7 linked regions of the Danio rerio genome follow. The protein of the gene in region 1 interacts with the protein of each later gene in a biochemical or structural test. Links are inferred from orthologs where the notes say so. Each region holds a gene or a part of one and is shown in the gene's direction. Other genes may lie near its edges.

The links.
Region 2: the proteins of rps6ka1 (region 1) and limk2 interact in a test that uses a peptide from one of them, tested with the Homo sapiens proteins (2 studies listed by BioGRID and IntAct). The link is inferred for Danio rerio from reciprocal best matches to the Homo sapiens genes RPS6KA1 and LIMK2.
Region 3: the proteins of rps6ka1 (region 1) and mast2 interact in a test that uses a peptide from one of them, tested with the Homo sapiens proteins (2 studies listed by BioGRID and IntAct, with this or other methods). The link is inferred for Danio rerio from reciprocal best matches to the Homo sapiens genes RPS6KA1 and MAST2.
Region 4: the proteins of rps6ka1 (region 1) and pard3bb interact in a test that uses a peptide from one of them, tested with the Homo sapiens proteins (2 studies listed by BioGRID and IntAct, with this or other methods). The link is inferred for Danio rerio from reciprocal best matches to the Homo sapiens genes RPS6KA1 and PARD3B.
Region 5: the proteins of rps6ka1 (region 1) and lnx1 interact in a test that uses a peptide from one of them, tested with the Homo sapiens proteins (2 studies listed by BioGRID and IntAct). The link is inferred for Danio rerio from reciprocal best matches to the Homo sapiens genes RPS6KA1 and LNX1.
Region 6: the proteins of rps6ka1 (region 1) and Na(+)/H(+) exchange regulatory cofactor NHE-RF2 interact in a test that uses a peptide from one of them, tested with the Homo sapiens proteins (2 studies listed by BioGRID and IntAct). The link is inferred for Danio rerio from reciprocal best matches to the Homo sapiens genes RPS6KA1 and NHERF2.
Region 7: the proteins of rps6ka1 (region 1) and ptpn3 interact in a test that uses a peptide from one of them, tested with the Homo sapiens proteins (2 studies listed by BioGRID and IntAct). The link is inferred for Danio rerio from reciprocal best matches to the Homo sapiens genes RPS6KA1 and PTPN3.

Annotation. Positions count from the first base shown.
Region 1 is NC_133192.1:28,543,481-28,548,320, forward strand, and holds the start of rps6ka1 (ribosomal protein S6 kinase alpha-1), read left to right. Parts: upstream 1-1,672; 5' UTR 1,673-2,162; coding exon 2,163-2,225; intron 2,226-4,840. UniProt on the Homo sapiens protein: Serine/threonine-protein kinase that acts downstream of ERK (MAPK1/ERK2 and MAPK3/ERK1) signaling and mediates mitogenic and stress-induced activation of the transcription factors CREB1, ETV1/ER81 and NR4A1/NUR77, regulates translation through RPS6 and EIF4B phosphorylation, and mediates cellular proliferation, survival, and differentiation by modulating mTOR signaling and repressing pro-apoptotic function of BAD and DAPK1.
Region 2 is NC_133180.1:21,552,070-21,556,828, forward strand, and holds the start of limk2 (LIM domain kinase 2), read left to right. Parts: upstream 1-1,573; 5' UTR 1,574-1,751; coding exon 1,752-1,767; intron 1,768-2,383; coding exon 2,384-2,480; intron 2,481-4,759. UniProt on the Homo sapiens protein: Serine/threonine-protein kinase that plays an essential role in the regulation of actin filament dynamics. Acts downstream of several Rho family GTPase signal transduction pathways.
Region 3 is NC_133181.1:36,390,570-36,395,607, reverse strand, and holds the start of mast2 (microtubule-associated serine/threonine-protein kinase 2), read left to right. Parts: upstream 1-2,027; 5' UTR 2,028-2,956; coding exon 2,957-3,037; intron 3,038-5,038. UniProt on the Homo sapiens protein: Appears to link the dystrophin/utrophin network with microtubule filaments via the syntrophins. Phosphorylation of DMD or UTRN may modulate their affinities for associated proteins. Functions in a multi-protein complex in spermatid maturation.
Region 4 is NC_133184.1:14,758,051-14,761,474, reverse strand, and holds part of pard3bb (partitioning defective 3 homolog B), read left to right. Parts: intron 1-1,858; coding exon 1,859-2,219; 3' UTR 2,220-3,424. UniProt on the Homo sapiens protein: Putative adapter protein involved in asymmetrical cell division and cell polarization processes. May play a role in the formation of epithelial tight junctions.
Region 5 is NC_133195.1:25,257,787-25,262,024, forward strand, and holds part of lnx1 (E3 ubiquitin-protein ligase LNX), read left to right. Parts: intron 1-1,850; coding exon 1,851-2,098; coding exon of another isoform or gene 2,099-2,104; intron 2,105-4,238.
Region 6 is NC_133178.1:11,806,559-11,810,796, forward strand, and holds part of Na(+)/H(+) exchange regulatory cofactor NHE-RF2, read left to right. Parts: intron 1-2,367; coding exon 2,368-2,610; intron 2,611-4,238.
Region 7 is NC_133191.1:29,704,369-29,708,606, forward strand, and holds part of ptpn3 (tyrosine-protein phosphatase non-receptor type 3), read left to right. Parts: coding exon 1-131; intron 132-235; coding exon 236-326; intron 327-2,382; coding exon 2,383-2,447; intron 2,448-2,582; coding exon 2,583-2,723; intron 2,724-4,238.

The DNA of each region.
Region 1 (4,840 bases):
AGCATTAGTGCAGAGAATAGCAGTTTCCACATCCTACTGCACAAACACACACACACACACACACACACACACACACACACACACACACACACACACACACACACACACACACACACACACACACACACACACACACAAACACATCAAGTGTGTTTGCAATGCTTGATTTGTTTTTGTGAGAAGGATTTATAATTGTCTTTATATCCACACTTGCAGGTCTTAGTCTTGATGCCTTTTTTTAAATGTCACAGTTTAGCCTGACAAAGCCCTACATTATCATTAGTGTATTTGAGTGCCATTAAAATCAGTTTGTACTTTGTCCCATCATTTGACTCAATGAAACATGGTCCTCTACCAATGCACACTCCATATCCTCCCACTACCATCTCATAAAGGCGGCCATTCATACTCTGTTTTACTCTGGCAACAGATTCACCGGCACGCTGGCAGATGGTCTGTGGTTGCCAGTGGTAACCACTCTCAGCGAGAAGCAACAGTTGCTCTTCTCTGCTCCCTTTGAGAGAATAAAAAGTCAAGAGGTATTGGCATATCACTGCCTCGCCACAAAATGGGCAAGCCTACAAGACAATTACAATTGAGAACATCGAACAGCATTCCTAGCATGATGGAAAAGGAGATAGGCTACTTGTGCCAGTAATGGGGAATACTTTGTTACATCAATCTCTCTTTTGTTGAGAAGTTTTTTTTTTTTTCTGAGAAATGCCCTGGGATGATATGCTTTCATATCAGTCAAATGCAGTTAAAAAGATATTTTATAGGAAATTGGTGGTGGTGTTGTTGTTTAAGTGATAAAAAACATCCAAATGTTATCTTACACCTGAAAAACGTGTAATAATCAAACTGCTAGATTTTTTTATTTCAGAACCCAGTTTATGAATTGATGACTTTTTTGATTAGACTTTAACAAATTGATTAAGTTGGTTGACAAATTTATGAGAGTGTGGACTGAAACACAAAACACAAAGTCTGTAATTCAATCTGAATTTTTGTGACATAGCCAATACTTTAAATTCGCACATAATTCTGACGAATTAATGTCATGTGAACATGATTGATTTATCAGTTCTTGCTGAAACCCCCAAAATTCCATCTAAATGTATCTTTTTCTGTTACTTTTGTCCTTCTAACTTTAAAAAACAAAACAAAATTGTATGAGTTTTGAGGAAGATAATTGTTTTTGTTGTGAGTCTTCTCTGTGAAATGTACTTTCAGACACAAATGGAATTTTTAAAAACAAAAAGTATTGATCTCCAGGAGTTTAAGAAGTGTTTTCATCTGGCCTCTTTAACTTTGACACAAATATATTTAAATTTTAAGCTATGGACAGCAGGACATACTTTTATTTGTGTGAGGTGACGTGACACGCACGTGTGTATGAGGTTTGAACGCAATTTCCCGATAAATCCACGCCGAGACCGCAAAATAATTAAACTACTGTATGTTTGGAAGAGGATTTTTTATTAGTTACATGAGAGTTTGTTTGAATATAACAACCTGTAAATTTGAGCTAGAAGTTTCAGCCCTTGTCAGTGCAGCTTTAGAGTTTGCCTTGCAGTAACAGCACAGGTCCAGAGAGGGGCGTAAGCAGAGTGTTTGGAAAAGGGGCTGGCCGAGAACTGTCTTCAAACCAATGATCGGCTGAAGCTTTTACACTGTGGATTCGGTTCAGAGGAGAACACACTGACAGCATCGGCTCCTCTTTGCAGCGTCTGTGTGCACACCGACAGTCAGTGTCAGAAGACACTTTCCACCGTATTGCATTAACACATCTTATTGGATTTCCTCGGAGGAGACGCGATTGATCGGCGCAGACGCGCAGTGCATGTTCTTCTGAAAGCCGAGTCCACCTGCGCGTGTCTGAGAGATTTGTTCATTTCCAGGAACGGGGCTGTGCAACTCCTCTTCCTAGCCGGACTGAGAGGAGAATCCGTCAACGTCATTTAAACGGGAATAACAGCTTTGATCTTTCTTTTTCTACGAAGTGATTATGCGCGTCCTGCGCGGATTGTAAGCAAGGAAAGTCGCCCGTTTGCTCCTGACCCAAAGGGACATATCAGGTCGTGCCAGCAGGAAATACACGGGTTCGGAAGAAATTCCCATTCAAATTTGAGGACTTGAGACAAACAGAAGGAGCGTGCACAATGCCTCTTGCTCAACTGGCAGAGCCATGGCCCAAAATGGAGCTGGTGCAGTTGGAGACGGAGGTGAGAGGTGGTGAAATCACAGCACTAAAATTAACTGATTTAATGTGCGCCCTTTAGGTTGCTCTATCCGTGCCAGAGGTCCACGTGTTTGACTTTAGGAGTTCATGAGAAATACAGCAGTCGTCTAGAAATGTGATACTTTGTGCAAAATAACTAAAGAGTTGTGCAGGTGTGATGGTCAGGGTCTTTATTCTGTTCTTTTGGAGCGCCAGCAGGACGCGCAGCGCTCAAGTAGTGCAGGTCAGATGTTTCCTAATACTGGAGGGTCGTTTCATAAAAAAGTGCCTAGGTGACCTTCATAATCGATGACTTTAACCAAATAATCTTTTTCTAACTTAAACACACTCACACTCACACTCACACACACACACACACACACACACACACCAGACCCATAAACCTTCTTCATTTGGATGTCAGTCGTAGCCTTGTAATGATAGCAGTGTGAATATCAACCATGTTTTCAAGTTTCTTTTTTGATGAAAACCATAATTTTTTTTAAGAATCATGTTCATGCTATTTCACAGCTGCTTTGGAAAAAAGTCAATTATATCTAGATTTTAAATAATGTGGCATGAAAGTATAATCCAAAAACATGCCACCACTTCAGTGATTCATAACCTTTTTTCTAAATCAGAAAATCACATAAAATCACATTTTCAGCGTGGAAAAATGAACCAATTTTAGGGAATGACTCTGCAGTTGTGTCATCTTTAAACTCCAGCGGAAGAATATTGTTTTCTTGTTGTGCTCAGTGAAGCAGCTGTTTTCCAGTTTTTCACTGTGCAGTTCTCTTCTCTGGGGTACATGTCAAATGTCATAAAATCAAATAAATAATACAGCAGTTTAAGGTCAGAAGAAGCATTGGGAAACAACACTCGAGTTATCGAGCTCTTTTGTATTTCTGAACTTTAGTTGTGGTGCATAAGAAAAACACAATTTTTAGTGTTTTTTTATGTTAAACATGTTATAAAATTATTGGCATATAAATACTTAATATTTACATTGTCAAAATCAAATAGCATCCACTCGTATCTGCAGTATAAATTGTCATGCTTGGTTATAAAAAAATTAGGTGTTTTTTCCTTTAAAAGATTTAAATTGCGATATGTGTTCAAATATGCTAGTTTGATGATTTGTATCTTTTGGTGACAGACCACAGTGCTGACATCTCTGAGAGCTAAACTCCTAGTCAGTTCGAGTTTTGTATCACAGAATACTGTCAAGACGTTTGCATTGTACAGCTCTGGAATTTCCTCTTCCAATTCAGCTGCAGGCCAAGTTTGCAACTACAAGGCAAGCAGAGACAATATGTTCTGTGAGTGATTAATGAGAATGGAAGGAAGAAGATTTAATTTCTTATCTTGCTCTCAGACTAATGTTGATCTCATTTGAGAATCACAATAAGAGGCGTATTTTACTCTTTTGTTCCTGTTCGTGTAATCTGTGCAATTTTGAGATTAAATTAACTTTAATTTTCCCTTGCCTTCTGCTCTCTCACCTGCGCAATGAGTTCACCACCAATCAACTGGCAGCAGGTTTGCTGCAGAAACATTCTCAGTTTTCTCAGTCATTTGAACGAAATTACTTCTGCAGATGAAAACGAGAGGCAGAACTGATCAGAAAAAAATCTAATATAAGTTTAGCAGGAAAGCTCTACTGATTAGAATCTTGCTACAGCATTTCTGCAAGTAGCCTACCACAAGATCTTAAAGTGCTTCTTCCTGATATAGACTCGCTGAACAAAGGACTAAGCACAGGAAGTCACACCACTTAATTTGTCTGAAAAAGACAGGTTTTAGTTTTTTCACATGCTGCTAGTGCTCAAAGGACCCCAGACACACAAAGTGTGTAGTTACTAGATTGAAGAAAAAATGTGTCGTCAAAATGTAAATGTATGTAAAATGCACACCTGCCTATTCTGTCTGATATTATTTTAAAAAGGGCATTTTGCCATTTGCATCAAATTATATTCAACATAAGTGCAATTTTGCAGTCAAAACATGACTCTTTACAAATAAATAGATCTATTGCTAGTTTTGATATGTTTGTTTTGATAATCTGACATTACTTGCAGCATTTTGGTGTATATATTTTCATGCTTACAGAATCATGAAGTATCAGTACACATTAAGTTAGCTTGGTTTAAAGGTCCTGTGAAGTGCTTTGAAATGTGCATTTTTGGTGTGTGACAATTTCAAATGAAACTTGAAAACAGGGCAGGAAAGCTCCTCCCCTTTTAAAAAGCAGCCAATAGCTTTTTATTTTTATTAATACTCTGCCAGTGTGATTGTGTGAGCTCAAGTGCATCAAATTTAACGCAAATCTGAAGCGTCTTGAAGGGGGAAACATGTAAGAAACTACAGAGCATTTGCTTGGTCAGAAGATTTAATGTGAAACTGAAAAATGAAGTGCCATCAAAAAAATAGCTAATCCATTTAGATCATATCTTTTTCCTTTTTTCCCCGGTATGCTCCTGTATTTTACAATTCTATTCCGCTATCATCTCATAAAGGTATTTTTCTATTTCTCCCATATTTTTTATCTGTCTATAAAGGGTGGCAATAAACATTAAAGAGCCGATCCTCTCTATACTCAACCCATACATCCGAACC
Region 2 (4,759 bases), on another chromosome or scaffold:
CACTTGCAAACACACGCACACGCACACGCACACACACACACACACACACACACACACACACACGCATGCATACACCACTCACACACACACATACACATCTAGATTATTATAATAGAATCATTGTACAAATTATTTTTATTTTTTGTTACTGTTTTATCCAAAAATTTTGATTGTTAAATGTACAGTTTTTTTTCTGATCTATTATTTCTTTTTATTGATTTGTATAAATAATATTATTTGTTGAATAATAATATGATTTATTGAATAATATGGTATATTATTTATATATTTTTAATTATTATAAATAAATATAATATTGTTTTTTTATTTATTTATTTTTCGCTACTGCTACTATTCAGGGGAGCGCTGCATGGGCACAAAGTAATTTTTATTTAAGTTATTTATAAAGTTATTTTTTTATTTTAAAAAAATCTGTGAAAGTATATGTGTAAAATCTTATATTATTGTTTTGAAAGATGTAAAAAACACACAGTGACTGCTAGCCAGTTTTGAGGAAAACATGACACAGTGGGGTTTGTTGTAACAGGGTGTTACAATTAAGCCACACACTGTTGGACACCAATTAAACTAAATATTTTTTTTTTGAATTTTGAGTGAAATATTGAGAACTTTTTAAATAAAAATGCTTTTAATAGAAAATATTTAAGAAAAAATATGTTATTGTTAATAATGCAAATAAATTCACAGCATCATAATGGATAAATGGATAATATTGCAAATAGATTCAAATTTATTTATCGGATAAACAAATAAATAAATAAATAAATGTGCTATTCAGGATGAAAAAGAAATGAGCAATTTACTGAGGAAATATAGCTACTATTTAAAGTAAACTGAATTAAAATTAATTGTGTGAAATTTGCCTTTAAATGCATGTGCTACAACAACAACTAACTAAATAGTAACATTTTTACTCCTGGCACTTTTGGCAATATTGCACAGAAACCACAGGTCCGGCGACCATACAACCAGTGCTCATTTGTAGAAGAGGCTTATGTGTTGCGGGTTAAAAAAAATGGTTTGTCTAACCCTTTTACTTTGTTCATTATTTGACCAAAACCAAAAAGTGTGACTTTGTGCCCTGCTCTACCCTACTCTGTTTACTGTGATTTTTAGTGTATGTTACCTTTTTATGTAAAGTTTATAAATGCTTTGGCAATACATTTGTAACATTTGTCATGCCAATAAAGCAAGTATTGCATTCAATTGAGAGAGAGAGAGAGAGAGAGAGAGAGAGAGAGAGAGAGAGAGAGAGAGAGAGAGAGAGAGAGAGAGAGAGAGATCAGTGCTTTTGTGTTTGTGCTATGAACAATGCACTAACAATAAGCTTGACCACATGATGAAACAAAGAAAATCGCTGCACAAGTTTCGCTCTATCGGCGATAGGTGTCGCTGCGGTATCACTGGACGGGAACCGGTTTTGTCGCGCAGTCTGGTTGTAAACGCTCCTGTTTCAGGTGATTCTGTTTGATCCCTTCCGGTCTCCGTACATTTCTATCTCATGACGTCATTTGGTCGGACAAGAGAGAGAGAGAGAGCCAGAAACTTTGAACTTGCCTGGAAAATTGACGAAACCCTGTTTCTCCGTTAAATCAGAGCTGGATTTAGGCTGCGGTTCTTACACATGGATCAGAAACGGAGCATCGTTGATGTGCACCGTGTGAACGTCAGGCTTTTCAGGACCAGCATGTGAGCTTGAACAAATATAATTAAATCAGATCGGGGAGGACATGGATGAACGAGAAGGTGAGGATTCCGTGAACAAGCTTTGTTTTTGTGCACAGAAAATACTCGCTTGACCTTCTTTTATAGCTTGCTCTTTGACTCTTTCTGTTGGGTTTGTCACAGATCCGACGCAACGTGTAGGAATTTGGTGGTGCGATCGCGTGTTTTTCGTGTGTTGTTGACGTTTGTTGATAAACAATGTTAGAATAGATGTCAGAAGAATTAATAAAAATATACATCGCGTCGTTTCTAAGCATTAAAGATTTGTCTTAGTAATCGTGTAGAACCATTTTGTATGTTGTTTTTGTTCTCGATTGTAAACTGATAACGTTAGCTAATATGGGTTCCAGTTTTAACCTGTTTTGTCGTAGTAGAAGTAATGATGATGATAGTAATCGATCTGGTGTATTTATATGTATTAATAATGGTAAAATGTTGAAAAAATAAAACAAGATACAGCAGTCACTTAAATGGATCAACAATGCGAAATTACATAATGCAAAACTTAAGTTAGTGTTTTAAAACACCGAATGTACTACCTGGAATTGAAAGTAATATGTGCGGTTTTTCTATAAATAAAGCATGTTCTGTGTATGAGGCATCAACTCTGAATGTTGCTCTGATGTTTGATTGACAGATGTGACGGAGCGCGCGTGCACGGGCTGTGGCGGGAGGATTCAGGACGCTTTTCATGTGAAGGTTCTTCAAGACGCCTGGCACAACTCATGCTTTCAGTGGGTCTTAACATCTACTCTATTTAAACTGAACCAGACTGGTTGGAATTAGCCAAGATAAAATGTGTTCAAGTGATGTTACTGGTGTTGCCAACTATTCTTAAATACTTACCAAGTTAGAAAAAGCATAAAAAACAAAGTCTTCAGGTGGTTTGTCTTCTAGTCTTGTCTGTAGGTTAGATTTTGAAGCTGGATGTTCTAGCTGTCTGAGGCTGCCTAAACCAGCTAGTCTTTACATTTTATGTTTTCAGCCACTGAACTGTTTCAGTTACTCGAAGCTCAACCATGTGAAATGATTTCAGATAAGCAAGTGAGACAAAGATGAATTATTTTTAGCTTTTCTTTCTGAGAAAATACGCAGACTATTGCATTGAGATGACAGCAATCTGCATTTTGTCTTTGACTTCTACACAAAGCAGGTGTTCAATTCTAAAACCCTCAGCTTAGATGATAGAGGTAAAGTTGGTTTTATATTCACACATTCAAACTTTCCCCTTAGTAATATCATTTCTTAAAAGTATTATTTGCAAACTCCAAACAGTGAAATCATATTAGCAGCCAATGATTATCAAAGTACAACATTGTTCACAGTCAAATAAACAGTGTTGATGTTGTTTTCAAGTCCTACTTGCATGCTAAGTCCGATCGAATATTCAAAATAACATGGTAAATATATTCGTTTTTAATGAACGAATGTGTGAATATAAAACCAACTTCATCTCTATGCTTAGATGTCCTGATTATGTAAATACACAAGAGAAATGTTTGTGTAAATATAAACATTGAAATCATAATGTGTAAATGGGGCAATGAAAGGATTTGTTATCTCTTGTTTCCTAGCTCTCCTAAAAGTAATAGTTCACCAACAAATGAAGAATTGCTTAAAATGTACTTTAGCCATACAAAGCGTTGGTGATGTTTTTATTTTCTACACAATAAAAGTAAAAATATTCATAGCTGAAAGGTGGTATTTGGTGATTCATACAGTGCAGGTCACTGACCACTGACACTTTGAGACTGAGTAAAACACAAAACAAAAAACACATCTAGCCAAACAGAATTAATAATTGTTGCCCATAAGTTATTTTAAAGTAAAACCATTGGTCTGCACAACAAACCGAACGCAAAATTGGATAACCTGAGAGTGAGTAAACAAACAAGTGGGATAGTTCATCCAAAAATGAAAAAGTCTGAATGAAAATTATTTACTTATACACTTGACTTTATGGCCCAAACCAGCAGTTTTTTTGTTCTGTTGAACACAAAAGAAGATCATTTAAAGAATGTTGTAAACCATTGACAAACATAGGAAAAACAAATACATTGGAAGTCAGTGGTTATAGGCAAAGGTGCGAATTATACATAAACGATCGGTGGGTAGGTGAAGTTTTCATAATGTTCAGTAATATGCTTGAGTGAACCAAAGTTATCTATTATTTCAATTTCATCTAACTTATTAATCAAACTTCTGTTTTCAGTGTTTAAGGCATATTGAGTGGTTCTCAATGACATTTGTGATATTAAATAAACAGTGACTGGTTTGCTTTCCTGCTCCTATTAATGGATGACCATGAAAGACTGCACATATTTTTTATTTTACTATTTAATTTCCATGCAAGCAAGCGTTAATAAAATACACACCATGCATCAAGTTTTATGAACACCTACTGTACAAACGTCTATTTTACAAGAAACATGTTTAGTGAACACTTACACTGTCTGTTGGTGCTCTAGAGTTGCCGGTTTCAAACCGCTAAATTCATATTTTTAGCCCCATTATAGGGGTGTTCAAATGTATATTTACATTATCTATTTTTAATTAGTAGAATTTATTTAAGATACAGATCAGACAGGGTATCTGCAGGGTCTTAAATGTCTTAAATTTCAAAAACAAAATGTTAGGCCTTAAGTAGTATTAAATTCACTGAAAAATTATCTTGTATGTCTTAAATAATTTTAAACGGGTCTTCATTTTCCCTTGTTTATAAAGCTACCCAATCGTTCCAACAGGCATCAAAATGCCAACAATACATCAATAAGTTTTAGCAAAACTATTTACAGTTGAAGTCAGAATTATTAGCCCCCTGAATTATTAGCCCCCCTGTTTATTTTTCCCTCCTAATTTCTGTTTAACGGAGAGAAGATTTTTTAAACACATTTCAGAACATAATAGTTTTAATAACTCATTTCTTATAACTGATTTATTTTATCTTTGCCATGATGACAGTAAATAATATTTTACTATATACTGTATATTTCAAGGCACTTCTATACAGCTT
Region 3 (5,038 bases), on another chromosome or scaffold:
ACTGCTATTTTCATTGTTGCATCTCGTTTAAATACACTATGAACAGCAGCTACGATAATTATTTTGTTTATTCTCTATTTCCACCTGGGGATACTCATTCTAAAGTCCCTAGAGACTATGCAGTGTCATTAATGCGATCCAAGAACTGTGAAGAGATGATCCCAAGATATCCATAATCATGGACCAGGCAGTATCCTGACTTGATGGTGATGGTTATTGAGGAATGGAATGCATGAGACTGATTCCTGAAAGAGCACTGTGACAGATGCACAGTCACCGCATTGTTCGATTGGGCCAGCCTGACTCCCCAACGACGACCTACTCACACCTGCACCTTCTCCACGATTGACCTCCAGCTTCTCTAGAATCTGGTGTGTCCAGTGTCCTAGACTGCAGCTCTTCAAGTTTGGCCATAAAAATTATGGTTATGTACAACAGAGCCTGGTTCCTCTCTAGGTTTTTTTTTCCTTCACTTTGTCAATGGGTGAAGTTTTTCTTTTTTTCCCTCACTTCTGTCACCAGTGGCTTGCTTGGACTTGTGGAGCTGCACTTCGGTGAGTTTGCTCTTCAGTTTTAATTTTCAGCAGTGAAACATAAACCGCATGAACTAGTTAACTGAACTTCAACTGTGAAATCTGGACTTTACTAGAACTATGTTAAGCTGCTTTGACACAATCTTCATTGTGAAAAGCACTTTAAAAATAAACATGAATTGAATTGAATTACCCTAACCTGCCTAATTAACCTAGTTAAGCCTTTAAATGTCACTTTAAGCTGAATACTAGTTTCTTAAAAATATCTAGTAAAATATTGTACTGTCATCATGGCAAAGATAAAATAAATCAGCTATTAGAAATGAGTTAGTAAAACTATTAAGTTTAGAAATGTGTTGAAAAAAATCTCTCCATTAATTATATATATATATATATATATATATATATATATATATATATATATATATATATATATATATATATATATATATATAGGCGAAGCAGTGGCGCAGTAGGTAGTGCTGTCGCCTCACAGCAAGAAGGTCGCTGGGTCGCTGATTCGAGTCTCGGCTCAGTTGGCGTTTCTGTGTGGAGTTTGCATGTTCTCCCTGCGCTCGCGTGGGTTTCCTCCGGGTGCTCCGGTTTCCCCCACAGTCCAAAGACATGCGGTACAGGTGAATTGGGTAGGCTAAATTGTCCTGTGTGTGTGTGTGTGTGTGTGTGTGTGTGTGTGTGTGTGTGTGTGTGTGTGTGAATGTGTGTGTGGATGTTTCCCAAAGATGGGTTGCGGCTGGAAGGGCATCCGCTGCGTAAAAACTTGTTGGATAAGTTGGCGGTTCATTCCGCTGTGGTGACCCCAGATTAATAAAGGGACTATTTATATGTACACACACACACACACACACACACAAACCACAGAAAAAAGCATTTAAAAAGAAAAGTAAGTTTAAGTGCTAAATTTCCCTGTTGTTAAAGTTTAATTTCTGAACAAATTATTATTTAGAATATGTTTTTTTTCTGTTTTTTTTCCCTTATGCATACTATTGTATTAATTTATGTATTCATTAAAATATTAGTTTTACTTTTTTCATGTTTATTTTTTATTAATCTTTAATATTTTGCATTACTTATTTATATATTTTTATTTCATAATATATTTTTAAATGTTTTATTATTATATGCTGAGCCTCTATTTTTCTCAAATATATAGAATAGGAATAGTACAGAGAGCTTGGATCTATACATTGTTTTAAGCAGGAAGGGTTACTTTAGTCTCAGCAGATGGCAGCAAAAACAAACTAAAGTCGAATTTCTCCAAAAAGCGATCTTTTCACTTGCCCCTTCTAAGCCATTGGAGGAAACAACGTTCCCAGATCAGCCCTCCGGTGTATATGCAATGCAAGACTCCCCCACTTAGTTAGAATCTGCTCCTACACACTGAACTCAGATCAGCTCTCGAGTGCATATGCAAGACTCCTCTCTGAGACTCTGCTACACAGACTGAACTTAGATCAGCATTTGGCGCTCACCGGCGGTCGTTCACTTGATGCGAGCTTCAGGAAGCTACTAGATTTCCTCCTCGGAGAAAAGCGACGGCATGACAGAACACCGGGTCTGATTAGCGATTGTTTTCGGCACCGAGCCGTTTCCCCCGCACCCGGCCGGGCTGACGTCTGAAGAAAAGCGAGACTGAAGGAGAAACGCGGAGCTTCGCGACCGCTAGATATAATGATCCGCGTCAAAACAGAGCTCGCTCTCTAGACTCACGAGACATGATGGACAGTTAAACGCTGTGTTGTGGCTCTGCGGCGAAGTGTATCTCCAGTCTGCTGGCAGTTTAGTGGATGAGGAAATTTTCTGTTTTTATACGTTAGCTCTTTGTTTTGTTATAACTGGAATGCTAAAGTATTGGTTCACCAAGACGAGACAATCCGCTGGAAGACTTCAAACGGCAGCAAACACGTTGGAAACGCGGCATTATTCAGCATAATGATAACCTGTCGTTACACTCTCACGGTGACAGACTCGAGCCCGGCGAGTTCATTTACACATTGCTTTTAAACGATCACTTTCTCAATTTTGGTAAACTCAAAAGGCGTTTATTTTGCGGATGTTGTCAAACTTTATCAACAAACTGCTAGCGAGCTAGCGTGTTCCGCCGGGTGATTTTCGGCGCTAAAACCGCATAGTTTACATAAAACTGAAAACAAAGCAGTATTTGACGGAAAAAGAGAAGAAAAACAGACTGGCTGTCATGGCAGATGGGGTTGTAACTTAAGGTCGAGAGTGCAACACAAAAGCAAACCTGCGTTCATCATTTATTCTGTATTTGTGGACCAAAGTTGAGGAGAGGTTTGCTCACCATGTACCAGGGCGAGATTTGTTTCAGTATCTGAATGCACTGACCACTGGATTCAACAAAATATTAACATTAGAGTAGCGCTCAGCCGCCATCCATCAGAATGAAGAAAACCGAGAGCAAAAACAAAAGGAAACTCTGCACATCTGAGCAGCAGGACAGCAGCACTGAAGGAAAAGACGAGGTGAGTGATTGCGTTTTGACATTTACCTTGTGTATTTATTTCAAGAATGCAAAGTAAACAACAGTACACATGCAGTGGTGCATGTGACGCAGCTGCCCTGCAGAATGAGCGCAGTGCTCGATTTCAGTGCATCCATGAGGCATCAGGGCTTCTTGGTCATGAATATTGACAGGAAGCTTCCCTTGCAGAAAAAAGACAATTGATGTGTGAATGCATGCTGAGCCAGTTTATATGCTATTTTGCGTGTGTGTGTAATCCCTGACGTATTTATTTAGCTTAAATAATTAAATGAATTTTTTATAATGGGCTATAATTGAAGTCAATACAAACTCCAGCACATCAGAGTGGACATCAGGTTTTAGATGTTTTTTTGCTTTGTGCATTATTAGATTTGTGCACTTCTGAATAGGTTTAAAGGACTTGCTCAAGTTTATTACCCACGTTATGTTTGTTTTGGAAGAGTTTTATTGACTCCTTGGTTTTTGTTATTGAGTCTTGTGTTATCATTCATTGCGAGAGGACAGAGTGACACTGAAAGAAATAAAAGGAATGGAGTACTCCTATTGCTTATACACACATATAGTGTGTTTCAGATGTGCTCCAACATTAGGCACATTCAAACCAAGACTGAAAACACATCTGTTTAGCTGTGCCTGTACTGAATGAGCCCTGTGCTTTGTCCGACAGATCGCTCTATCATGTCTTTCTTTTGTTTTTCATTCTTTTATAACCTTTTAAAACACGTTTGATCTGTTTTAATCACTTTTATTATTTGTTTTTATTTCCTTATACTTGTCTCTTTTAAAAACCCGTTTAAACCCGTTTCTGTTTATGTAAAGAAATTTGAGTTAAAATTGTGAATGAAAAGTTTAATTAGGATCACACATTTTGTGCATAGCCATTCAGATTTATGTACTTTATGTTGATTTATGTAATTTATGTATTTATGTTGACATTAATTTGAAATGTTTTCTTGATAAAGCATTGTTGGTGATTAATATAATTATGTTGAAAATCGATCTATATATAAATAAGGCGAGGCAGTGGTGCAGTAGGTAGTGCTGTCGCCTCACAGCAAGAGGGTCGCTGGTTCCAACCTCGGCTCAGTTGACGTTTCTGTGTGGAGTTTGCATGTTCTCCCTGCCTTCGCGTGGGTTTTCTCCGGGTGCTCCGGTTTCCCCCACAGTCCAAAGACATGCGGTACAGGTGAATTGGGTAGGCTAAATTGTCCATAGTGTATGAGTGTGTGTGTGTGGATGTTTCCCAGAAATGGGTTGCAGCTGGAAGGGCATCCGCTGCGTAAAAATTAGCTGGATAAGTTGGTGGTTCATTCCACTGTGGCGACCCCGGATTAATAAAGGGACTAAGGCGACAAGAAAATGAATGAATAAACGTATATAAATAAATCCCATGTAATTTAACTTGTTGTAAAAAATTGATGAATAATGTTATACAATTACTAATAGCCTATTACTTTAGAATGTGCATTCTTTTCATTTTATGGTTTTAGTGCTTGAAAACCCGTTTAAACTTTGACCCCAAAAAGTGTGAGATTTGTTAAAATAGTTTTGTTTCTGGATAATCACCACCCTGCAGCAAGCAACTGATTTACAACATAAGTTTGACAATAATGCTTGAAGAAGAAATCCCATTTAAAGGGGTGGTCCACTACGATATTATATTTTAAACTTCAGTTGATGTGTAATGTAGCTGTGTGAACATAAACAGCATCTCTAAATGTAAAATATTCAAAGTTTAATGCAAAGGGAGACCTTGATTTGTACAGAGTTAGCTTAGCAACGCCTACAATTAACGAATTTTGGGGACTACAAAAAATACTTCCGCCCCCTGTGAGATCACAAAAGTTCGTTATTGCGCATCCCACACTGCGCAGGTAAAGGCCGTGGCCAGAGGCGCTGTAACGTTACTGCAGAGGGAGAAATGCCATCCTGCTGTTTCCACATAGCTGTTCTGTTTCTGTTGTTGGGCTTCCAAATGACA
Region 4 (3,424 bases), on another chromosome or scaffold:
ATTATCTTCTGCTGACTGCCAAACAAAAGCAGATAATTGTTGTGCAATAAGATATAGCACTATGCTCCAAAAATGTGGAATTGTGTCCCGAATAAAAAATAAAATAAAATTATCCCCCAACTTTCATGTTTTTAAAAAGCGTGTTAAGAGGCACATTTTTAAAATTGCATATAAATGAAACAGTATGTGAAGTGTAGGCATTTTATGTATATATTGTGTAAGAGTATGTATGCATGTACAGTATGTGCATGTACATGCATATGTAAGGTCTATTGAAAAGTGCTATACAAATAAATTTTTAATAATAAAATAATAATATGTTTTATTTATTATTATTATTATTATTATTATTATTATTAATAGTAATAATAATAATATTATTATTATTATTATTATTATTATTATTAACTAAACATAGAACATGCCCGGGTTGTGCAGAATTCCTTCAGAAAAAGAACAACCTGATAGGAGAAATTTATGGATTTGTGTCGAATGTTAGGATCATTGATCCATGACCCATCTATAAAAAGCATATTTTAAAGTATCAATTCAAATGGAAATTTAAAGTATAAATTGCAGAAGTGAATGAATCAAGGCCGTAGACTCGCTCTTGACATTGGTGGGGATTGCGTGGAAAATGTTTTTGCGCTTTTAAAAACATGAATAAAGTACTTAATAGTAAAAAATAAACACTTAATAATACAAAAAACAATTTAATTAATCATGTTTCATGCTGCAAAATTCAATTTACATTATTTTACTGCAATCTGGCATTGAGGATGTATGAATGTATAGAAATTTAGAGACACTAATTTGTGTGACACTATTTAACTTTTTTATCCCGATTAATTTTCGATGAATTGCTCTGCCTTGATTAAAAGTAGGGTTGGGTACCGAAACCGGTATGTACCGGATCAAATCAGCAAATGAATTTCGGTGCCTAATTTCGATGCCACTGGTGCTGTGATAAGGACAAAAGAAGCATCAAGGGGTGCATCAAAGGCACACATAGGTAAGCGTTGTCACACCATCTCTAAACATTTATTTCTAAACAACTTTGAGGAGTACAGACAGGCGATGTCAGGCGTTTGTTCTTGTTGCTTAGGGAACGGACGCACACAACGCACATAGTACATTGCATTCGGTGAGCGAGTGCGACTCCCTTCAGATTAACACCCATGATTGCGTTCATCAAATAACCATTCTAAAGCGTATTTTACAAGCAATGATTCTGACACAGCTACATGAAGCAGATGCCGTGTCAACAAGCTTGGACCCTCCTCTGGCCCCCCTAAATTTAGACGGGCATGTTTGTGTCAAAATGCCACAGAGAAGCGAGATCAGCCATCAGTGGCTGACTGCGGAGATATGACTGAGGTCTCTCTCTGTGCGCTCTAGGTGTCACGTGCATTCGCTCTCTCGGGCACTCTGTCCCTCTGCTTTCACGGTCAGTTCGGTGCTGTGCGCATTAGCCTCCAAAAGTATTAATTCACGGACCGTTTCGGCACCGGTGCTGTCTTAAAAGTATTGATTTAGCACCAGTATCGAAATAAAAATTAAAAGTATTGTAGTCAACTCATAGCAAACTTGACTTTAACCCTTTGTTGATATGTGATCCAAATATTTGTAGCTTGAAACTGAAGGAAAATGACCGGTTTGTGCTGCGTTTCAAATGGAAATCCCAGTATAGATGCCATAATGACCCATTGTTTATTTGTCCGCCAGCCTCCGCACTGGTCATGTGACTGAAAACTAATAATTGGGCAGTGAAAATAAATGGGTTGTTAGAACAGTTGACCAGTGTTACCATCTCCTTCCTTCCCCTAACTATATTTCCTTCACTTTCACTCTCTTGCAGAAGAGCACCAGCTGACCCTAATGAGTATCCTGTGCAGCAGTGGTCAGCACACAGAGAACCAGCACAATACCCAAACCCCCAGTCAGGTTACCACCCCGGCTACCCTCCTCCTCCCAGAGAGGCCTACCCTCGCCCGTTGGATCCTCGTCAAGGCGACGCCGGCTTCTACCACCCTCTTCCACAGCAGAGAGGCCCACTTCGACAGGATGTCCCCCCATCTCCCACCATACCCATCAGAGGCCCTCGATTTGACACCATGAGCCGCGGCGGCTACCGAAACACCAGCCCAGAGCGCTATGCTTACGGAGACCAACGGCACTCCGACCCAAGACAGAAGAGTCCCATGACGGCAGCTGTTTAACACAATCATTCCTTTTCCACTGTGTGTACGAAGTTTCTGGAACAAACACCAAACACAGCCACCATTATCTACAGGTGTTTACATGCTTTTACTAACAGTTTTTCCTTAATAGCCAAAGCTGCGTCTTAGGGTTTTGACGCAGCTTTCGTTCATATGTAACTCAGACGGTCCCTCCATATGTTCTTGTGTCTGTGTAGGATGAATGTTGGCTCTCAGATGATTGGCAGATATAAACCCATTCCAGAATCACTTTTATCAGCACAATCATTACATCTGTTATTTCAAACTTTCAAACGTGTACTAATGTGTGTCTGGTTGTGTATAAATCTTTAAAGGGATAGATCACTTAACAATGAACGTTTTTTGCTGGTAATTTACTCACTCTCAAACCATTTTAAAAAGATAGTTCATCTACAATTGAAATTTTACTCATTAGTTGCTCATCCTATAACACTTTACAATAACAGTACATGAATAATGATGTGTTAATATGTAAACTAAGCATTATTTTACTATAAACTAATTATGTTAATGCATGAGCTAATCATTAACTATCGTTAACGACAGCATGATTCACTTCATGAGTGAATAACGGCTACCTTAACTAATTGTTAGTACACGATTGTTTGTGATTTAATTGATTAAATACCACATTAGTTTAAGCTTAATTTAACCATCATGAATTCATGATATGCTAATATATTATTATATCATGACTTAACTTGGAGGGGCACATCATCATTAACCCATTCCTAACTACTCATGAACTCATTCCCGTCCAACTGGTGCGTTTACACTGAATAACAATAGAAAAGTGTTCTGTCAGCATCAACATGAACAGATTAAACACAGAAGTTCATGAGTAGTTAAGGATGAGTTAATGGTGATGTGCCCCTCAAGTAAAGTCATGACGTAATGATACATTAACAGCTCATGAGTTCATGTTGGTTATATTTAGCTTAATCTTTAACACATTAAGCTTAACACATTAATTAACAATATGCACTAACAAGTAATGAAGGTAGCATTATTTACTCATGACCTCTTGTGACTCATTTTGTAGTTAAATTTAGTTCTTGATTAGCGCATACATCAACTCATCATTATTTATAATTAAGTAATGTTTAGTTTATATATTAATACATTATTATTCATGTACTATTATTGTAAAGTGTTAATGCTCATCCTTATGTGGTTCTTTCTTG
Region 5 (4,238 bases), on another chromosome or scaffold:
CTATCTATCTATCTATCTATCTATCTATCTATATATGTCTGTCTATCTATCTGTCTATCAGTTTCTATCAATCCATACATCCATCCATATCTGTCTGGCTGTGTTCGTCCATCTGTTTTTTAAATTTTCTAATGTCAGTCTATCTGCATCGTCTGTCAATTTTAGTCTTCGATTGTATATGAGAGTGGTAGTTGTCATCACAGAAAACTCCTAAGCTGTAATTTTGTCCCGACACACTGCCAATCGACCAGCGAGGGGTAATTGCCTTTCTTTAGGCTGCCAACAGGATTTGAAGTCTTTCATCAGCACCTTAACAGAAGCCGAGTGAAAGCAGCCGTTGTTCTTTTAGGGCGGTTATTAGGTTTGCACACCTGAGGCACTCCAATCAGTGGTCAGAAGTAAGTGAGATATACAGCCAGTGTCAGACCCTCGGCCACACGTCTCCTTTCTCTCGCTCTTTTTTTCTCTTATGGCAGCTATGAGGGTGAAGACAGGCATGAATACTGAGACAAAATGCTTTATTTTAAAGATGGTCCCCAAGGCATGGCATCTCTCCCAGTGCCGTATGCATTTTTTTGCCTGTATATGTCCGTCCATTGATTTATCTCCTCACAGCCGGCCCTCAGAGAGGCCTGTGCTCCAGTGGCCGCCATAATAGTTCCATCATTCACTTTACAAATGTTTGAGGTGAATTTATTGTTTTCTTTTTTATTGATATTACCTATCTATCTACCTATCTATCTATCTATCTATCTATCTATCTATCTATCTATCTATCTATCTATCTATCTATCTATCTATCTATCTATCTATATATCTATATATCTATCTATCTATCTATCTATCTATCTATCTATCCATCCGTCCATCCATCCGTCATTCTATCCGTCCATCCATCCATCCATCCATCCATCTATCTATCTATCTATCTATCTATCTATCTATCTATCTATCTATCTATCTATCTATCTATCTATCTATCTATCTATCTATCTATCTATCTAGCTATCTATCTATCTATCTATCTATTTATCTGTCTGTCTGTCCGTCCATCCGTCCGTCCGTCCACCCATCCATCCATCCATCATCCATCCATCCATCCATCCATCCATCCATCCATCCATTCATCCATCCATCCATCCATCTTCCTTCAACACCAGCCATCTAGCACCGCTCACACTAAAAGCTCACTGGTCCAAAATAAAACAATAAGCATTTTTGACCGGATCACATCACACAACAGATTCTGATTGTCTATTCACTATTTTTCCAGACAAATTGCCTGTCACTAGTTAGGAAAGAGTAAAGTTCAGGGATGCAGAGTGGATCAAACCTATGACCTTGTATATGAGAGTTAGCCTAGTTGCATTTACTGGCTAGTCAATGCAAACATAGTGACATTTAAAGAATGCTTTCAAGTAGAAATGTATGCCGCAAATGTATTTCTGGATGCGCTCCACTATATAATCCGCACTAACATCTGCATGTGAGTGTTTATGAGTACAGTAATGTTATGAAGAGATAGCTTTAGTGCATGATTTGTTTTGTAAGGCAAGAAATCTCATTTCAAAGGTGAGGCCTTTGATATTCTACTCTTAGTGTTTGTTTGCTTCCTGTGGCGAACGTATTTGTTCTCTGGTCTCCTCTATGATGGCACAACATAATATATCAGCTACACATTGCACAAAATTCAGTTCAAGTCCAAATACACACCCTAGCGACGATGTGATTACTAAGTCTCCTCTACGTGACTTTGCTTTCCTAATTGGCACATGGATGATGACATTTTCATTGTATGGTAATGTATCTTGCTGACCCAGTTGTCATTGTGTGTGTGTGTGTTCTCACAGGTGTAAAGGAGCGTCACACTATGGACTCTCTGCAGAGAGAAAGCGTCGCTCTCAGGAGGGCGACTGCACAGACAGCACCTCAGAGCTCACTCTGGCAGCACTGCCCGGCGAGGGTTGCCCCTCCTCAGCCATCGCCCTCCTATCAGATGAGCCTGGCCTGGTTAACCCCGCCTATGAGCCCAGTGTGGAGGATAACAGCCAATCCGGGAGCACCACCAGCCTGGCAGCACGCAGCGGTTCCCGGAAGAGTGAGTGTGAGTGCACACAGTGTATTTGTGTGTATTTGTTTATATCTTAAAAGTGTTGTGTGTATATGTGTTTGTGTGTGTGTGCATGCAAAAGGTTTTATGTATCCTACACTATAAAGAATGCAGAGTTCCACACAATGCATTTATGTTGTCCCAACACAAATCGATTAAGTTAGATTAACACATTTAAGTGGACTGAATATAAAATAATTAAGCTGTCCCCAAAAAATCTCAAGAATTGTGTTGTTTTAGCTCATTTTAAATAAGTTGTTTGACCAAGCAGCAAACACATTGTTTTTAATGTATATGGGTAATTCTTTAACTACGGGCACTTTTATGTCCTTTGATCATATATCCAAAAATATATAGAATTTTGTCAAACTTATAATAAAACTTAATTTAAAAAAATTTACTAGCTATATTTTTTTCATATTATTCAACCTCTTTTTAGGTGTCAAAATCACTGTTTTCGCCTTGTCGCACACTCAGAGTATTATACTTTAACAATATTAATAACATTTTAAAATATTATGTAGCTGGTAACTTTTAATGTATCTTAATTAAGTACTTGTAAAATAGGTTAAATATTTTATAGTTTTTAACGTAAGACTATAATCAATAAAATTTTATACTTAACATAGCTGTCGCACAGTTTCAGTGTCATTTCCAACTTGTAATGTCGCTTAAAAAGGTTTGTGTGAAAGATTGTTTAGGTGGTTTCTATGAAAATGATTAGTGACATCAAAACACATGTTCAAGATTGAGGGAATTTTTATCAACAACACTTGAAGAAAAATCAAGATAAATATTGCTTGATAAGGAAATACATTAATTTAGTCATTCCCAAACATGCTGTACCTTCAAAGGTGTTTTTAAAAACCAAACAAAATTAAGGTAAATAAGAGTGTTTTGTATACATGAAACGCTAGTATCAATTCAAAGCTAATCGGTGAAGCTATCTTTAATTTTTTAACAATAAACTGTAGAATTGTCATTTCCTCCTCTGTCATTTCCATCCATCCATTCATATACACACACACACACACACACACACACACACACACACACACACACACACACACACACACACACACACACACACACACACACAAACACACACACACACACGCACACACACACACACACACACACACACACACACACACACACACACACATACACACACACACTAAATTCAACATTTTGCATTTAAAAATTTTTAAATATATAGTTGAAGTCAGAATTATTAGCCACCTTTAGATTTTTTTTTTCTTTTTTAAATATTTCCCAAATGATGTTTAACAGAGTAAGGAAATTTTCACAGTATGTCTGATATTTTTTATTTTGGAAAAAAGTCTGTATTTTGGCTAGAATGAAAGTAGTAAAAAAAACAAAAAACATTTTAAGGTCAATATTAGCCCCTTTAAGCTATATTTTCTCTTGATTGTCTGTAGAACAAACCATCATTATATAATAACTTGCCTAATTACCCTAATCTGCCTAGTTAACCTAATTAACCTAGTTAGGTCTTTAAATGTCACTTTAAGCTGTATAGAAGTGTCTTGAAAAATATTTAGTAAAATTTTACTTACTGTCATCATGGCAAAGATAAAATAAACTAATTATTAGAAATTAGTTATTAAAACTATTATGTTTAGAAATGTGTTGAAAAAAATCTTCTCTCCGTTAAACAGAAATTGGGGAAAAAATAAACAGGGGGACTAATAATTCAGGGGGGCTAATAATTCTGACTTCAACTGTATGTTTTTGAATTGCTTTTATTCTAAGATTTATTATTATTATTATTATCATTATTATTATTATTTAGTATAGCACCATTTTCTTTTGGAGATGTTCCATGCAATTGTCTTTTCCTTTCTCACAATTATTGAGAGAGCTACAGCATTCTGAGTAATGTCATTTATTCAAAGTTGCGCTCTGCACCACTAATGTCATTTGTAATGCAAAAATCAATTCAAACTGCACATCTATAAAGACTCTGCTGAGACACATAAATTATTTAGCATTTAAAGACAAAGATTAAGAAAGAGAAAAGTGTAAATGCCATGTGAACACTTTATGACCTCCACACATCGGTTTCAGTTTCTGACATTGCCTCAAAACGTGAAGCATGGAGAAC
Region 6 (4,238 bases), on another chromosome or scaffold:
CCTATATTTCTATTCAGCCCCCCTTAAAGTTTTGCGATTAGCTCATGCACTATACACCAAATTATCGCCTCAGTCCCCTTTAAATTTGAAATGAAAACGGCGGCAGAATTTGGCTCCTCCCCATATTTTGTTTTTCATTTGATCAGCAAATCACAGCTGTGGACATCGAGAGAACGAGGTGTATTTATTGATAAATTGTTATAATATCTGCTTATCTGCAGTTCTTTGATATAGACAACCTTGTATGGCCTGTATCCCAATGTCATGGAGGAGCAGTGGGGTTTTCTCTGCTTTCATCTCCAGAAAGGATTAAACAGTGACAGAAGCACTGAGAGAATGTACTCGTTTTAACTGTCACTGGGTCACTGACAGAGACAGAAACATCAAGTGTTGTCTAGTATTAAAAACATACTTCTTATTTATTATTATCATTCAGATCGTGAAATATGTGAATTTTGTGATTTGTAATTCGTGAAATGTGATTTTAAGACATTGATTTTAACATATAAAGCGGTTCATGGTTCGGCTCCAGTCTACGCTCTGCCTTGAGTCTTACGCTGTTTCAGCCTCGCTGCAAACTCAGCACCATGGGAGGTAGGCCATTCTCTTTCCGTGCTCCCAAACTGTGGAATGCTCTTCCCACTAACATTAGGAGTGCCGGATCATTTGATGCTTTTAAAAAGCTACTTAAAACTCATCTTTTTAGGTCTGTTTTTAATTTGTGATATCTTTTATTCTTACTGTGTTTTTTTATTGCATTTTTTTAATTGTTTACTTGCTTTGTTGTTTTTACTTTCTTGTAAGCGCTTTGGGTTTTAGAAAAGCATGTTATAAATAAAATGTATTATTATTATTATTATTATTATTATTATTATTATTATTATTATTATTATTATAACTATTATTATTATTATTATTATTATTATTATTATTATTATTATTATTATTATTATTAATAATTAGCCTGTAAGTTTAAAAATATATATTTATAAATGTGTCATTTAATTAGAAAAGTGGCAGTTTACTTATTTAATACATGGAAACAAAAAATGAATATAGAAGGGTTTTTTTACTACAGTAAACAGGGGGGTTGAGCCTATTTGGCATATTCAGAACTCAAATGGTTACTGTATGTCTGTCTATGTAATACAGTGGAGTACTAGCATACAAAAACACATTTCTACTCATTTATTCATTTTCTTTTGAGCTTTGTCCCATTATTAATCTGGGGACAGTGGAATGAACCGCCAACTTATCCAGCATATGTTTTACGCAGTGGATGCCCTTCCAGCTGAAACCCATCACTGGGAAACACATTTCTACTTTAAAGAGGAAAAAAAAATACAAAAGAAAAATACCAAACAAGTTCATAACATAGTTGATCAAGAGTGCCTTTCAGACAGAGGTTCAGCAGCATTTGTTCTTTTTAAAAGGGAAATACTTAGCTAATATGATGCTTAGATTTACATTAGACAAATACAGTTTTTGTAAACGTATTGTTATTTATTTATTATAAATAAATAAATAAATGTATTTATAAATTTATTTATTTATGTATTTATTTATTTTTTATTAATTAATATTTATTAAATTTATTTATTTATTTATTTATGTATTTATTTATTTATTTATTTATTTATTTATTTATTTATTTATGTATTTGTACATAACATTAATTAATAAATTAATTTATTAATACATTTATGTATTTATTTATTTTTAATTAATTAATTAATTATTAAATTTATTTATTATGCATGTATGTATGTTTGTATTTATTTATTAATTAATTAATTTATTTATTTATTCATTCATTTATTAATTCATTGTTCTGTCATTTGTTTTCAGTGTAAAATTATTACTTATTACTAGGGCCAGACAGAATCTGCGGACGTTTTTTGCTATTTCTGCGGAGAATTTTGGTAAAAATCTGCAGATTTCTGCGGAATTATTTTGGGAGTATCCAGCGGAGTATCATAACTAAAGCCTTAATATATGAAATAAAAAGTAATAATTTACTGAACAAAAACTGAATAAATGTAGATTTACACATTTACTCAAGTAAATAAACTGAATTAATGATGGGCTAGAAATCTGCGGAAAATCTGCGGAATTCTGCACGCGCAGATTCTGTGTGGGGCTACTTATTACTTACAACTAGTAGTGTTTTGAAATTAATGAATGTATAATCTAGACAACTGTGATTATTCCTCAGACTATACATGTACAATCAAAAACTGTAATCGTTGCATCCCTATAATACACTTTAGTATGGTTCAAAAACACTTTACTATTAAATAATATAGTATTTCTTAATGTGGGGACCCATAAGCAGTTTTTCTAAATGTGCATTTCTCTTGTCTTCAGGTGGTGCAGCGGATTAAAGCTGTGGAACATGAGACCAGACTGCTGGTGGTTGACAGAGAGACTGATGAGTATTTCCGCAGTCTTCGTCTCACCTGCACTGAGGAAATGGCCATCCGGACGAGCCCCACAGCCACGACCCCTTCACCCTCACCCTCCACCAGTAAACAGGGCAATGGATCAGTGTCCAAACGGAGCGAGATCTCCAAACCCATCAGGAAACCTCCGTCACGAGCTCTCAAGAAGGTGCGGAATCCTCTACATACACTCTTAGAAAAATGATAAAGATTCTATTTTAGAATCCATGTTCCAAATCTGTCATTCCATTTCCATTCTTTGGAGTTTTAAAAATGTTCTTTACAGAATGTACTTTTCGCTGAAAGTTCTTTGGACAACCAAGGATGGTTCTTCTATGACTATAGCTATGTTTTTATCCACCTTATTTTTATGCACATCAGTTAAGGTTAAGGTTAGGGCTGGGGTTAGGACATACATTTTGAAAATACGCTCAAAACACTAATGCTCTTTAATGAGTAGGAAACTTTTTACTCAATATAAATAAAATAGCAAGTCATTTATTCTATAAGGAAAAAAGTCTTCAGTGGCTTCTAATATATCACAGCAAATTCCGTTTTTCTTTTTGATATTTACCGCCACTTTATCAGGTAATTATGATTTAGTTCACTTTGAGTCACTGGATGTAAACGGTGTTAAATTTGCAAATGATTTACTTGATGTTCCAGTTTGGGCACAAGTTTAATTCACATCTTTAGATGGAAACATAGCTAATGTTATGTAAACATGCTTTTGGAACATCATTAAAGTGGTCTGTTTTGCCGTCGTCTGATATTAGCTTTCAAGTAGTGTGCAATGTAGCTGTTTTTCTATATGAAGAAGCAATTCTGAACTGCTGAAATGAGTCCTCAGCAACACACATATGTAGATTTTTATAGTTTTGCATAAAGCCAGTCGTCATAAAGTTGGTGAATGTCCCTTAAACTCTGCAGCTGTAGATGATGTCTGGAAGAGTTTAGTTTGTCTTGTGTTGAGAAGGATGCTGTTTTCTGTGCCTGCATCACATCTAAATGATAGGAATTTGGTTTGGTTGATATGGTAAAACCAACACCATCATTACTGTTTGTAAAACTGTTTGTAAAACTTTATTCATGCCAAAATTAAAAGTCTTTTGAAGCAGTGGTTCCCAACCTGTTTTTGCCTGAGACCCCCTTTTCCCCCCTGAAAATATTGTAAGCCCCTCTCCACATTTAATGATATAATCGCTCATATAAGTTTGCAGTAATGATGATAAAAATGTTGTTTTCAAACAAATGGTATGTTTATTACTATATGTAGATATTTTTATGCATTAAGATAAGCCTAATGTTTTCCCAGTGAAGGGTTGCAGCTGGAAGGGCATCCGCTGCGTAAAACATGTGCTGGATAAGTTGGCGGTTCATTCCGCTGTGGCGACCCCGAATTAATAAAGGAACTGAGCCAAAAAGAAAATAAATAAAAGAATGAATGAATAATAGACTAATGTAAAATATAAAAGCAAAACATCGGTATCACCACGCACCGGTCAACGCTTGACAATTTTACTGCGTGGGGTTGGGAGTGTTTCGTAGGTTGCTATGCGACCACCAACCGTTTTCTTAGAGGATTACAAATTTTCTAAAGACGCCTGTTTCTTACTCATTTTGCTGCTTGTGGGTTAAATTTGGGCGCTCAAGTGACCAAGACGAGAGTACAGTCATTTTTCAAAATAAAAGATCGTTCAGACTCGGATAATAAATAAAACTGAAATAATTAATGATTTCTTGTGCGGAGCGGTACCAATTGATCTAGGACCGATGGTTGAGGACCACTGAGCTAGG
Region 7 (4,238 bases), on another chromosome or scaffold:
TACAGCTCGGTCTCACGCTTCCGGGTGAAATATCCCCACTGTCCACTCATCCATCTGGAGAGACACTAGAGGAGTCCATGGCCCGTCTGGAAAAGGGTTTGGTCACTGGAACGCTGCTTCTGCACTTTGAGGTTGGGCCACATGATTGTTTTACAGCATGTGTCATTTGGCATGTGTGTGTGTAATGCTGATAATTGTCATCAGCGCATGTGTGTGTGTGTTTTGCTGCTTACAGAAGTTGTACAGGAAGAAAGAAGGAATGTTAATGTCTTGCGCAAAGCAGTCTGAGAATATGGACAAGAATCGGTACAAAGATGTGTTACCATGTAAGTTGTATTGCTTTTCATGTCCAGGAAAATTAAGTTATACGGAAGACACATTATAGCATTATTGTGTTATTTGGTTATTATATATTAGTTATATCATTTTTTTTAATTAAAATCTGGAGGTTTCATTAAGTGGGATTGTTTTACTTAAAAATGTAGACAAACAATAGCTAGGGCATTTTTTAAGTTGTAGTTCAGACTGTAAAGCATGGCACTAACAGTGATGTCAGTTTCCGGGGAATGCATGATTTGGTAAAGTGTTAATGCAGTAATGCTGTCTTCTTGTGATATCAAAATAATCATAAATGGTAGTTGAAAATAGACATCAATGGCTCATATTTATAAGTGGAAAACTCAACATCATGTTGATGCACAGTGTGCCTCAGTTATGCTTTTTTTTTTACAGTTTATATAGGGATAGTTGACCCGAAAATAAAAAATACCTTCAAGTGTGTCCAAACAAGTTTGTTTTTCTGTTAAGCACTAAGGAGGCTTGTAATAAAGTAATTAGATGGCTTTTTAGCCACCAAAAGATGGAGGCTGATGAATGAAGAAGAACTGATGAATGTTTAAAGCACTTTGATAAAGAAAACAAGCGGGTGATGGCAGCCTTTCATGAATGACAAACTGATAGCAAAACAAAACATACCATGTTACAGGCCTGGTCCTCTCTTCTTCCTCTCTCATCACTTTCCCGTTTATTCTTCCACAGTCCTCTGGTAGACTCAAGACCGGTGTGGCAAATAGGTGACGCTTGTTAACACTCACACCACCGGCCTCATGCTGCAGTCACACTAGAGTTTGTGCATGCCCAATTCTGTTGTACGGCCCTGCGAAAAGTGGCGGGATTAAACAAAATGATCAGACATTAAGAAAGCGAGCGATTGGTCCATGTTTTAAATTTCTGTCTAGAGAGGTCATGTTTTGGTCTTTGATTGGTCTCACGCAATCATGTGATGTGATTTCGCAGTTCAGAGTTCACCAAGCTTGAACTTTCCAAAATGCGAAACTTGTCTCTTTCGTGTGCGTATAAATGGAAGTCTATAAGGAGAAAAGTGCAGCCTGACCGCAGCTTCACTCTGCTCTCACGGGTCTTGGCATTTATTGTTTCTCATGACATTTATTGTTATTAATGTGATTTCTTACGGAATAAAAAAATCAATTAGTTATTTTACTTTTAAAAACCATAAGTAAACCGTTGCCTTAAAAGTGACAAGTTGACTTTAGTTTTAGGAAAGTGGGTAAACCCATTGATTCTTTTAAGTTGAATAAACTTAATTTTTATAATTAAACACATAGTTTATTTACTTAATCATTTTAAGGCAACAGGTTTATTCTCTTTTTTGGGTAAAATCAACTAATAACTTAATAAAAAGGTTTACTCACTTTTTTAAAAAATAAAGTCAATGAATCACTGTTTACTGTGTGTGATTCTGTGTAGATCAGTTACAGAAGTTAAAGTGGAATTGTTGCTGAAGTGACTGATTGTTTTAAGGGTGGTAGTGTAACTTTATTATGTACTTTATTCTTACATGCTGCATGAAAGGTATTATAAGGGCACTTAAAATTTTATTAGCATTTCCAACAAAATTTGAATCGCTTTTTATTGCTGTTCATGCACAGTATATATAGTCATCTAAATAATAATTAATAATTTATGCACATTTTATGTATTTTTTAAGTAAAACTAGCATTAGTTTGGTTTGATCTTCAGGCTATATAAGGATATCCCTAAGACACTGTCATGAATAGTCCTGGTGTCATAAACAACATTTTAAAGTTCTAAATGAGCCTTCGAAATAACAATTGAAAAACTGAAAACATTTGTTCAGGAGGTTTGTACTTTACAACAACTGCATGACTGATGAGATTGAACAAACCTAGCACACTTGAGTAGATTAGGCCTAAGGTCAAACATATTATTTTATTATTATGCGTATAAGCTCCCGATGGGGAATGAGGCGTAATGCTCTTTAAAACTAGTCTTCAGAGGTGTTTTCACATAATCCGCAAATCCCTCTTCCTCATTCTCTGCCCGTTCATTCTTTTCTTTCAGATGACATCACCAGGGTGGTGCTGCAGGAGGAGGGGGACGATTACATCAATGCTAGTCACGTGAAGGTATGTCTCATCCCAGTCATTCTTTTCATTGCTTCACTTTAGTGTTGAATTGAAAAGTTTTGATTCATGATTCTGGGTGACTGACTGAAGACTTGACGATTTGTGTTTCTCTGTGTGTGTGCGTGCATGTGTCAGACTGAGCCAGCAGGTTGTGTTTTGCAGTACATAGCAGCTCAGGGTCCACTGCCGCACACCTGTACACACTTCTGGAGGAGCGTGTGGGAGCAGGACGTCAATGTCATCATAATGCTGACTACGCTGACAGAGAGAGGACGGGTACTTCAGCACATGCTCCCCTCATATGAAACAAAAACAACCAAAGAGTTCCATCAAGTGCTGCAGTATTAATAAACATGAACATACTTCAAGGATTTAGTTGACCTCAAAAAATAATAATTCTATCATCTTCTACTCGCTCCCATGTTGTTCCAATCCCATAAGAAGTTTGTTCATCCTTAAAACACAAATGAAGATATTTTTAATCAAATCTCAGCCATTTCTCTTCCTCCATTGCAAGGTCTCTGGCTTTCACAATGTTATGAATAAATAAATAAAACAGAATTTTAATCCATTTAGGCTTTAAATAACATTTGAACATTGATCTGCAGATTTGGTCATGCAAGCTAAAGCATGCTTGCTTGATGCGCAAGAACCAATGTGGTTTATTTTTGCGTGTCATGTGACGCATTTAAGTTTTCGCAAGAACCAATGAGCTTAATTTTTTTGAAGGTTCCATGAAATTAAACAAGTTTTTGAGATATTAGTTCGGGGTGACTCAGTGGCACAGTGGGTAGTGCTGTCCCCTCACAGCTAAAAGGTCGCTGGTTCGAGCCTCGACTGGATCAGTTGGCGTTTCTGTGTGAAGTTTGCATGTTCTCCCTGTGTTCACGTAAGTTTCCTCTGGGTGCTCCTGTTTCCCCCACAGTCCAAAGACATGCGCTATAGGTGAATTGGGTAGGCTAAATTGTCCGTAGTGTATGAGTGTGAATGATTGTGTGTGGATGTTTCCCAGAGATGGGTTGCAGCTGGAGGGCATCCACTGTGTAAAACATATGCTGGATAAGTTGGCGGTTTGTTCTGCTGTGGCGACCTAAGATTATTAAAGGGAGTAAGCCGAAAAGAAAATGAATGAATGAATGATATTAGTATCAGTATTGTTAGTTTTTAGGATATCTATTCATTATTCTTCAATGCGCAAGTGCGCTCGGTTTTGCGATTGTTTTAGAACTTTCAATTCAGTTGCCAATGGGAGAAATGACTAGGAATAATAAACGGAAACAGTCAAACTACTTACTCTACAAACAAGTGTTTGCATGACTATACAGACAAAATAGAATAATTTAATAAGAAAATATCAGTTTGCAAGACGAGCTGTTGTTTACATCTAAAAATGAATGGAAGGGAATGAGACCGGACGTCTTGAGCCAAAAAGATTCAAATGGCTGCGCCCACTCGTATGTGGAGAATAAGGTGAATAAGCTAGTGTGCTCCGAAACAGTGACAATATTCATGTTTAGTAGATAAAAAATTGATATCAACATTAGGGATGTCCAATCAGGTTTTTTTTGCCTCCGATTAATTTGATTTTGAGTATTCCGAAACTCGATCCGATACTTCTATAATACATAAAAAAATAATAAAAAAAGAGCGAAGAAACAGATCCAAGATGTTCCTTATTTTTTATTTAATTCAATTTATTTTAACATTCAACAACTCTGTTAACAAACATAGCACTGTTTGAGGTAGCTTGAACAATCAAGTAATAAATAACAAACTCTTCACTTTTGGACT